Linked DNA regions of Mus musculus: region 2 is reported to be linked to region 1. The links are microRNA targets in miRTarBase. Many come from high-throughput screens and were not tested one by one. Region 1 holds a microRNA gene; the other region holds the end of a gene's coding sequence.
What was found. Region 1 holds the annotated microRNA mmu-miR-1956 (AGUCCAGGGCUGAGUCAGCGGA, at 3,742-3,763, shown strand). A microRNA usually pairs through its seed, bases 2 to 8, with sites in the 3' UTR of a target mRNA and lowers its output. Matches are read on the target gene's strand: a 7mer-m8 pairs with bases 2 to 8, a 7mer-A1 pairs with bases 2 to 7 and ends in A, and an 8mer does both.

Region 2: the mRNA of Tmem167 is a reported target of mmu-miR-1956. Seed matches in the 3' UTR shown: 8mer at 3,540-3,547.

Annotation. Positions count from the first base shown.
Region 1 is chr3:138,522,684-138,528,932 of GRCm38, forward strand. It overlaps Mir1956 (microRNA 1956), which reads left to right and starts at 3,738; the gene lies at 3,738-3,802. Eif4e (eukaryotic translation initiation factor 4E) reads left to right here and starts at 3,508. Exons shown (of 8, transcript NM_007917.4): 1 at 3,508-3,611; 2 at 4,585-4,631. The coding sequence starts at 4,614.
Region 2 is chr13:90,103,971-90,108,469 of GRCm38, forward strand. It overlaps Tmem167 (transmembrane protein 167), which reads left to right. Exons shown (of 4, transcript NM_025335.3): 4 at 405-4,499. The coding sequence ends at 475. Among named protein-coding and RNA genes, the nearest start is that of Gm24507, 7.2 kb to the left of the region's middle.

The sequences.
Region 1 (6,249 bases):
CCTGTCTCTGGTTCCTCCCTGACACCTGGGGTCTGTCTGATTAACCCCAGATGACCCTCACTTCACTCTCACCTGCCTTACTCTTCCTCTCAGGCCACCCGTCATGATCACAAGAAGACATTATGGTTGGGCAAGCGGAGCAGGAATGACAGCATATGACAAAGAAAATTAAATGAAAAATACTTATAGCAAGTAATATCTTATCAATCTAATGATCAGTAATGTTGAATGTGGTGTTCGAAATCTATTCTAAACAAAACACATGAAACAGTCAGTATTCTTCACTGTAACCAAATAAAACAATACTATTTCCCCATATAACTCTTGAGAAAACCAAAGCGTAAACTGACTAAAACATCTAGCCAAGACAGTAAGCAGTGGATTTGTAGTATGAGAACTGACACCACCCTAGATGCTCTTAGCTATAGAAGTAATTTCTAAGACTATTTTTTATGTTGAAGACACTATCTTGAATCTTTCCTAAAGGAAAATTACCATCATAAAAGTAGATCATAAATTATAGTACAGGCAGTCACATCTCGAGGGAGAGTGAACAAAGAGATGTATAAACTAGAAGTTGGTTTAGATTATTCCTAGACATTACTCAGCTTACAATATTGAGGTCATTTATTTGGTTATACAATTTCCTGTATCTCAAAATCTGCTTAGGACTTATCAAGAGCTATGGACGTCTAACGTTTTGAAGCTTAAGTAAAAACAACAATGAAAACCCTAGGCAGCAAGCAGAAATATTTTTATATAGACCATAGCAGGTGTGATTAGTTCCAACCATAGTAGAAAAGTCTGGCAAAACAATGACTTCAGTCATCTAAGTCAAGAGACTAAAACTCCAAAGAAAAGTATGACAGAAACAACCCGTGTGTTCTGTCAAATTATTTGAAGTCTTTTTGTTTGTTTGTTTTTTTGTTTTTTCAAGACAGGGTTTCTCTGTATAGCCCTGGCTGTTCTGGAACTCTCTGACTAGGCTGGCCTTGAACTCAGAAATCCGCCTGCCTCTGCCTCCCAAGTGCTAGGGATTAAAGGCGTGAGCCACCACTACCTGGCTCTTATTTGAAGTCTTAACATGAGTTAAAATGGTAACATACCAGACTGAGGAATGTATTATATTGAGAAGCTATCTTCATTATTTACTAAAGCCCAGTAACATTCGATCAGGCCAGGATTATAAGGACTAGTTATATCGACACTACCCTGGGCCAAAGTAGTTGTGTGTGATCTAGACAACTCCATCATACAGGCCAGCATCAGAGCATCTCTCAAACATTTCCCTGATTTTAAATTAAACTTTTCTTTTCCTTTTTCCTTTTTCCTTTGGCTTTCTGAGATCAGGTTTCCCTGTGTAACAGAGCCTTGGTTGTCCTGGACTTGGTTTGTAGATCAGGCTGGCCTCAAACTGCCTGCCTTTGCCTCCTACGTGCTGGGATTAAAGGCGTGCGCCACCACATGCACAAGCATGGGTGTGGTAGTAAGGTGATGGCTGGGCACAGCTGCCTGTGGCTTCAGTTGCAGCCTCTTTGGAAGACTAGATGGGAGGATCCTATGAGTCTATGAGTTCAAGACCACCTTGGACAACATAGCAAGACTCTGGGTCCACAAATAAATGAATAAATAAGCAAAATGAAAGTGATTGTATACAGACCGACATAACACATAAAAATCTAGCCCCCATATATTTGACAAGATGAAATCGTAAGTGTTGACACTAGGCAAACACATCTGAAATGTTTAAAAATAGTCAATAAATCATATACAGATATAGAGATGACTTAAACTATAAAGAATGGGGCGAGCCAGGCAGTGGTGGCACACGCCTTTAATCCCAGCACTTGGGAGGCAGATGAATTTCTGAGTTCGAGGCCGGCGTGGTCTACAGAGTGAGTTCCAGGACAGCCAGGGCTACAGAGAGAAACCCTGTCTCGAAAAACCAAAAAAACCAAAAAACAAAAAAAACAAAAAAAAAAAACAAAAAAAAAACTGTAAAAGCGCAAGTCTTTGTGGGAACACAGGGGTACTAGGAAGTAGATCCTGAGTCTTTTTTTGTTCTGTTTGTTTTTTTTCTGAGACAGGGTTTCTCTGTGTAGCCCTGGCTGTCCTGGAACTCACTCTGTAGACCAGGCTGGCCTCAAACTCAGAAATCCACCTGCCTCTGCCTCCTGAGTGCTGGGATTAAAGGTGTGTGCCACCACGCCCGGCTGGATCCTGAATCTTAAGCAAGCTAGGCAAACATTCTACCCCTGAGTTATACCTGTAGCCCAAAATATGAGTCTTCACTGACAACAGAGGAAGAAGGTTAAAAAAAAAAAAACAATCAAATGTCATTTTAAACAAAAACTTTATATTGGTGGTTTTCAGGCTTGTCAGGATACTTTCTTGCCAATGGATTGGTTTGTGCTGTAACCAACCCTGAAGCTCAAAACAGGATATTTAGGTTGTCTTTTTCCTTTCTTTGGATAGAGATTCTCCTGTTTCTTTGGGTGGCCTAGAACTTGCCATGTCACTGAATTTAAAGTCCTGATCCTCCAGCATGCTGGGTTTATGTGGTGTTGGGGGGAATCTAGGCTGGATGAACACTCTATCAACTGAGCTACAACTCAGCACCCTAATGCTGTCTTCTCATAGAAATTAACCAGACATCACTTTACAGACAACAGAAAATAAGGGGTCAATTATAATTACTTTGGTTAGTGTTAACAGATTTGTACATAGAAATTCACCTATGTGTTTAGTTCATAGAGCTATGTCTACTTGAGAATCTACTCACGCCAACTTAAACAGAAGCTTTCGTTTAAAATCACTTCTGCCATCCTGGTAAACAAAAACACGAGCAGGCACTGGCTTTGAGTTCTTACACAGCCTCAATTATGTGTTAGTCAACCCAAGCATCCATTATGTACTCAATAATAGCTATGACACAGCTCTGGACAACAGCAATGCCATGGAGAGGCAGACACGAGATAGCCTGCTTACACTGCTTTTCCTGGCGGTAACATTTTTAAGCTGCGTGGAAGCCATGAGATCCTGGCTCCCTCATTAGGAACTTTACCCAACAGTGCTTTGACGGCCTGGTAACTTAGAAGAAAATGTAGCATGCCAGTTCTGTTTGTTAGTTGTTATGAACATAAGTTCATGAACACGAAGTTTCTGTTGAGAGCAGCTACATTCCCTTTAAAACTGCATCGGTGTACGCAACAAAGTAAAGAAAAGAAAATTTTAAGACACTGTTAAGGCTTGGGGATATAGCTCAGTTGGTAGAGTGCTTGCCTAGCGCTCAGGAAGCCCTGAGTTCCATCCCTATCTCAGCAAAAAAGTGCTCTCCCAACCCACCCCCACGCCCAGCACGCGCCAGTAATCCCGATACTTTGTGGGGGGGAGGTGGAAGCAGGAGGATCGACAGTTCAAGGCCATCCTCCCCTATACCTCAAGTTCAAGGCCATCCTGCGCTTCAAAAGACCCAGGGTCAAGAAGCAAGATTGCTAAAACAGCAGCGGAGGCGGAGGGAGCTGGTCCTTAAGGAAGGCACGCGCTTGCTTCTAGATTCCGAAGCGTTTTCAAAGCTGGTTACAGTCCTTACCACAGCACACCCTTGTGAGGTAAGTGTATTATCATCTTTGGTTCATAAATGAAAAAGTTGAGGCACTGAGCGTATTAAGTCACTCGCCTAAGGAGTATGAGTCAACGTCAAGAGTCATAGTTGACCCGGTTTAACGACTCCTGACCTTCAGTCCAGGGCTGAGTCAGCGGAGCCCCGAGTGGCTTCCCTGGCTGGCACCTGGACGTAGGCTATTTCCGTCCACGTCCAAGCAGAATACTGGAACCGATTGGACAGAACTTCCAAACTTTCACGTCCAGCAAGATTCACCCCTGACGCCTTCATCTCAGGACTGGGAACAGGAAAAGCCGACGCGTGCACTCCCCTTCCCCAAACGAGTGAGAGGGTACCGTGGGGCAAGCCCGCCCACCCGCTTGGGCAGCGATGGTAGCAAGGGACCACCCGCGTTAGTGGACCGGGGACTGGGGAGACGCAGACCACATCAACGACTCTCCATCGCCGCCTCTTTCAGAAACCAAGAGAAAATGGTGGGAGGCGAAAAGAAAAACTAAATAAAAAGCAACTTGTCTTAGGACCTCAGCTAAGCAAATGAAGCCTTCTTGCGTGTGCTGAGCCTGCAGTTCTCAACCTTCTAGGAAAGATGGGAGGACTGGGCGACAGAAGGCACAGCAGGAATGCCCCGCAGTGAGTGCAACCGGAGCTCTGCCCGCTGCCCAGCAGAGGCCTAAATCCAACTCGGCAGGAAGCGCCCGCGGCGCCGGGAGCCACGCACCCTCGCCAGCGACCACGTGATCACTTTTTTTTTTTTTGGAAGAAAAAAAAAAACTTCTTGCCTTAAGAAAAAAAAAAAAAAAAAAAAAAAAAAAGACTCCACTTCCCAGAAGCCTCTCCTTCCCCAAGCAGCTGCAGTCTTGCGCAGGCGCCGCTAGGGCCAAACGGACACGTCCGTCACGTGGGCAGGAGCCGGCCAATCCGGTTTGAATCTCATTTTTTTCCTCTCGCCCCCCCTTCAGGAGCGGTTGTGCGATCAGATCGATCTAAGATGGCGACTGTGGAACCGGTGAGTATTGCCTTCGGCCCCCACCCCCGAGCTCCCCGCGCTCCGGCTTCCTCCGCTCAGGGACTCCCGCAGGACGGCGTTACCGGCGCGCACGGCGCCTCCCGCCGCGTCCGGTCCCTGCCCGCCCCCGGCCTGACCTTCGGCGGGCAGCCTCGGCGCCGGGAGGCTGGCGGCGGCAGCGTGGAGCGCACACGCCGTGTGGGGGCCCGGGCACCGGGGCGGTGGGGGGAGGGGCGCCGCGCGGGGCCGCGATGCGGCGGGCGGAGGGCGGCTCGGGACACGGGCGCGGGGATCGGCGTGGGGTCCCGGGGTCTCGGGGGGGCGTGGGGCGGGCGGCTCCTAGCGGGCACCGTGGCTGGTGGGCGGCGAGCCGGCCCGAGAGAGCCGGAGAGGGAGCCCGAGGCAGCGGCGCCTCGCCGTCGCCGGCGACCCGCCGCCGGGGGTCCTCGTGCGGGCCGCGCTCTGGAGCTGCGGAGGAGGGTGGGCTGGCGGAGCCCACCGGTGGGCGCGCGGGAGCTGGGCGGGCGCGTCCCGCGGGGAGCCGGGGGCCGTGGCGTTGAGTAGGGGAGCATGCTCAGGGGTCGTGTCGCGCACCTCCCGGCGCCGGGGACAGGGGCCGGCTGAGGTGGGGATCACATTGTCCTGGCCCCTCCACGCCGGGACGGGGCTGTCATGGAGGAGGGAAGGGGGAGGAGCGAGGCCTACAGATCGCCGCCGCGGGTCGGCTGGCCGGAGACCTGCATTTCACACGCGCCGGGCTTTCCATTCATTCATCCTCGGGGCGCAGCGCGCACGCCTCCGAGGACCGGGTAGATTCTTCCGCTCTTAAGCCACCACCAGATCGTCTGGGAGATAGCCAACGAACACTTAATTTTAGAAATAGGAACTTTCAAGATTACCTTTTCTTAAATTAAAAGAAAAAACATTTTTTTTTAAAGCATGGTGGGGGCAGTGGCGCGAGCCGCGACTTGCGAGTGGAGGTCAGAGGACAGCTTTTAGAGTCCCGAGGATCGAGATTCAGGCGCTTTTCTCGAACCATCACTTAAGCTCATCAGCATTTGCTTTTCCATTTGATGTTTCCTTCTTAACTTTATACTGCTTCCCTCTTAATGAAAGCGCTATTTTGAAATTAATTGAAGCAAGATGCACATAGAGCATCACGGCGTAACTCCGGTAGCCCGAAGGTGGTGATTTTTTTTTTTTTTTTTTCTTCTGTCATGGTTTGGGTTTGCCAGCAGCTGGCTCACTGGCCATCCATCGCAGGTTTTTTTTTTTTTTTTTAAGGAATGTCACACATGTGTGAAAGTCTCAGGCGCATAAAGGCATAGACTAGCAACCAGAAACCTCTGTAGAACACCTTTGCCAGATGTTTTAAAACTCACCGATAGACTGAATATGAATAATTTGATATGTTTGCAAAATGGCCTTATCTTGGCAAAATTCAAGACAACTTTTTGGGAGTGGAGACATGATTTACTTGTTCTTTATTGACATCAGTTTTCCTGGCATTTTGCAAAACTGCATCATAAGTTGTTGGTGAAATTAACTTTAGAATATCAATGTAAGAGCAAGAGGGGAAGCATTTAAATGTAACCTAGACTCTTGACAAGTTCTCCTG
Region 2 (4,499 bases), not on the chromosome of region 1:
CATTGACATCTACATAGTACACACTTGCAAACTACAAAGTAGAGTTAGAATAATAATAATATCTCATGATGTGGCAGCAAAGTTCAGCAGGAAGAGGCACTAGCCTAATAATCTTGAGTTAAGTATCCAAAATTCATATCAAGTCAGAAAGAAAGAACCCACTCTGAAGTTGTCCTCTAACCTCCACATGTGCACTGTGGCATGATCACTCACATGAATACAGTACATCATAAGAATAGGTTTGGATTTGGGTTAGATCCCTTAAGTTTATTTCCTTGAGCTGAAGTTTTAATGTACCTTCTTGCTTGTTGTCTCTGGGTCCTTGTTTTTCCTCTCTTATAGCCTTATCATATCCATAGTAGTCATTCGTTCAACCAAGAGGAATGTCTTCTTTTCTTCAACAGGGGAACGCAAGAGTCCTTATGTCGCCATATGCTGTATAGTGATGGCCTTCAGCATCCTCTTCATACAGTAGCTTTGGAAACTACCAGCATGTGCTTGCTATCAGACTGTAAACAAGGACTTGCCTCCAGAAAATAATGGGAAGAATGGTTAAGCCATTTGTCTCTGAACATGGAATGAGATAAACTTCAAGATGCTGTTCTCTATTTTTATGCTATTGGACCAATGAGCTGAATGAATAATTAAGATGTAACAGTTCAATACACAGGAATGTGATTGTATCCATCAACCTCAGTTCTCTCACTCCAGTATTACATTCTGCAAATGTCATTCTGTTGTGTCAGGACTGCTTTTCATAAGGTTCTTCGGGCACGAAGTAGAAACCCAGTGGCAAATTCCAAGGCTCCTTTGACTAGGGCTTCAAAATAATGTCTTCACAGAATGGTACCTTCTAGCGACTGGCCTATTTTTATTGAGAAAAAAACTTGTTCTATTTTTGTTGTTGTTACTGTTCTTATGGATTGCATTCATATTTAAACCCTTTGGATTGCTAACCAGAGTACCTCTATTCTTGGCAAATTCCGCAGTTTATTACAGGTGTTTAAAGTATTTTAAACAAAACTCTGAATTTCTTTAGTTAGCCTAAGAGTTGGCTTCTAGTCACAAAGATACAGCTGCCACACTGTGACGAAGAGCACCTTAGAAAGAAAAGCAGCAAGTGAGCGGTGAGCAAGTAAGCACCGTGCAGTCTTCGTTCTCTGTAGTCTTGTCTTCCAAATAGAACGTCCATCGTAGTTACCCAAAGGTGGTATTTGTGGTGTTCTTAATGCAGTGCTTTAAGTCTAGTGTATGTTCTGTCAGCTTGAACTGGAATCTCTCTTGTAACTTTGTAGGTTATAAACATATCTCATATCTGCTTTAGTCTGGGTACTATGCTCTAAGTACATTTCAGCTTTGACACAGAATGTGAATAGACGAATATCAAAGGATACTTACAAGTTTGTATCCAACATTTCTTCAGGTTCAGCTGAAAATCAGTTACTGTTTCAAAACAAAGAGGAATTAAATCCTAGCTGAAAACTATACATAGCATTTATTAATTAATTACTGGGTTTAACTGCTCTTTTTAAAAGTTTGAAAAAGAAAAAAAAAATTTTTTTCTTAGAAGTGAAGTTTCTATAAAAACAAAGCCCTGAACTTGCAGTCTTCACTGTGTAGCCCAAATGGCCACCAGAGCTAGCTAGACCATCAGCTTTGACATCGTGCTTGAAGCTGTGGAGGACAGTGTAGTAGTCTAACATCTAGGAACGCCTACTTGGTTTGTAGAGGTTGCTTGTTTTTAAAAAGATTTTTGGGATGTCTGCAGCTAGTTAAAACTGGTCTATTTTTATGATAATTATTCTACTCTGAATTTCACCTTAAGCTTTGTATTAGGTCAAGGATTTTCACTGTGTCCCAAAAGTAGGACTCCCTCGTCACCATATTTGTGCACAGTAAGTAGTCACCTATCACTTTGATTTCTGGGTGGCCATCTGTTCATCATCACTAACAACATTTCCAGAAATGTTGTCAACTTTTTTCCTAAGTTAACATGCATCTCATATCAAAATGGAGAGAATAAGAATCATCTAATATGTTCTCTTTAGTTTGACATTTTAGACAATGTAGGTGGAAATTAGAGGAAGACATAGTTAACTTGAAATATGCATGGTAACATACAACTTTTCGCGGTATGTAGATACTGAGCAGTCTAGACAGGTATTTCTAGCCACTACCGTCCTGATCGTTTAAAGTACAGGCTCTTTAGGGGTGTAGGAAAGCTGCAAAGATAAAAGAATCATATAAAGAAAGGCAATTAGCATTTTTGGTGTACAAACACTGACTCCTGTTTTCTGAGCCACGGGGTCGTGTGGGAGGTGTGAAGCCCACAGAATATTTAGCTGTCTTTGTGAGTGGGGTGTGGAGGAGCAGTAAAGCACTTCGGGCAGCTGGCATCTACACAGACTGTAAACACAAAGCTTAGCGGGCGAGGAGCACTAAGACTCAGGTCTGACAATGTCCACATGTTCTCCCTGGCTGCCTTGTTGGCCCTAGAATCTTCAGTCCATGTCCCCACATTTGTTTTATGTTGCTGTTTGGTTTCTGATTAGCTTTATCTGGGCCATTGACAGGGCAGGATATGTCTTGCTTCCAGGTAGTCTTGCAAGATAGTCAAAAGGACACATGTCAAATTGGTCTTAATAGTTTTAAAAAGTTAAAATTCCAATATGGTGTCCTATTGATACCTTTTCTACTTAGGCTGGAAACTACCATATATGTTTCAATTCAAGGTGTTTCCTGCTGGGGTTAGTAAGAATATAAATTTATAATAAATTTGTTCATCTTCTTAATAAAATTAGTCTTGTACCATAGGGTGACACAGAGTTCCATAAATTAACTCTTCCAAGTTTACAAAGACAAACAAATCCTTGCCTCCATTTGTGAAAATTATTTAACACTTGTAAATAATATTTTTTTCAGGAAACATTTACACAATTGGTATGGCATGTGACCATTGAAAATAGATGAGTTGTTTCTCTGTATTCATAATGTACATGAAAGATGAAATTAATGTCTATGAAGTATAATGTGCTAATTCTTGTTATTGACATAATCCCAGGATTCTAGAAAAAAAAATGAAGAGTGATGATTCATTGAGGGTAGAACTTCTCAGAGATCATGAGTTAAACTGATCTTGACAGTGTTTTTTTTTTTTTAAAAAAAAAACAAAAAACAATTCTATGTTAGGGATTGTATGTCCCTTAGTTTGTGAGGTATGGTGTGGCCATAAAGGTCAACGGATGTTATATTCTGGAAAGTCATGTATTTTACCTACCTCAAAATTGAAGTTGAGATTGTCCCCTCCTGCCTCACAAATCCTTCAGGAAGATAATAAAGTCTCCCTTGGTTTATGAGTGAGCAAAGTTGACTAAGGAATACACTAGTAGATTCTCCTGAGACTTTTGTAAACATTGTAGAGGCAACTGGCCAGTCAAGGCTGTGTTTTCAGAAACTTGTAAAATCTCGTATTCTATCTGCTAAAAGCAGCCCCAGCTGTTAAAACAGGCACCCATCCCAAAAGTGCACAGTTTACATTTCCTGGACATACAGAAAATATTTCTACTTATCAAGAACTTAAGCTCCACAAAAGCCTTTGAGAAGCTACTCTGTCATTACTATCTGAAAACATGAATGGAAAATTCTTAGGGCTGCTCTTCTCTTCCTTTGTTACCTTCTAGTAATAATAAATGTTCTCAAACGGTGCTAGCAATCGCCCTTGTTACAGGGGGTCCTGACTAACTTCTGAGAAATAACTTCATATCATTTCCACTTTGCCCTGAACTAATTCCTAAATAATCTGACAGGCCATTTCAGTACCTTTTGTAGAAAGAATTCCTGTTTAAAAGAGGTAGTCGTCCTAGTCTCTGGTTAGTTCATACATCTGCTGTGTAATAAAAAATGAACTGTCAGAAGCCGTCTAGTTTTGATATATCACATTGAAAGAGAGCAGTACATGGAGCTTAGAGGGTGGCCATTATGACTAGAGTAGCTTATCTCCATCTGTGACTTGTCAAGATAAATTTGGAGGGGATGTTTTTATTGTTTGGTGCTTTAAGACTACCCACTCTGTCTCATTGCTGCTTCTTTACAAACCCTAAATATCTAAAGTAATGGTTTCTGTGTTACTGTGACCATGATACAAGACAGTAGCAAAGAGGGGAGGTTTGTGGGGTATTTTCCCTTTAGACATATTGGAGTTTCCCTAAAAACATTTGGCAGGGACTCAAAGTCATGATGGACCAGGGAACTAAAAAGGAGCCAGCCACAAGCTACAGTATAGGCCAACCTCTTAACTTTGAAAGGCCCTCCCCTAGAGACCTACTTCTGAGAAGGTCCCACCTTTAAAATCTCTTCCCCACCAGTAGGAAATAAGTATCCCAAAAGCCAAAATAATGACTTGGCTGGTCTGCTTTGGATCTTATCTTGAATTGTCCCGGAGGTAGTTTAATTCTGATTCTCCATTTAAATAGCAGTCATTGATTACTAAAAATTATAAA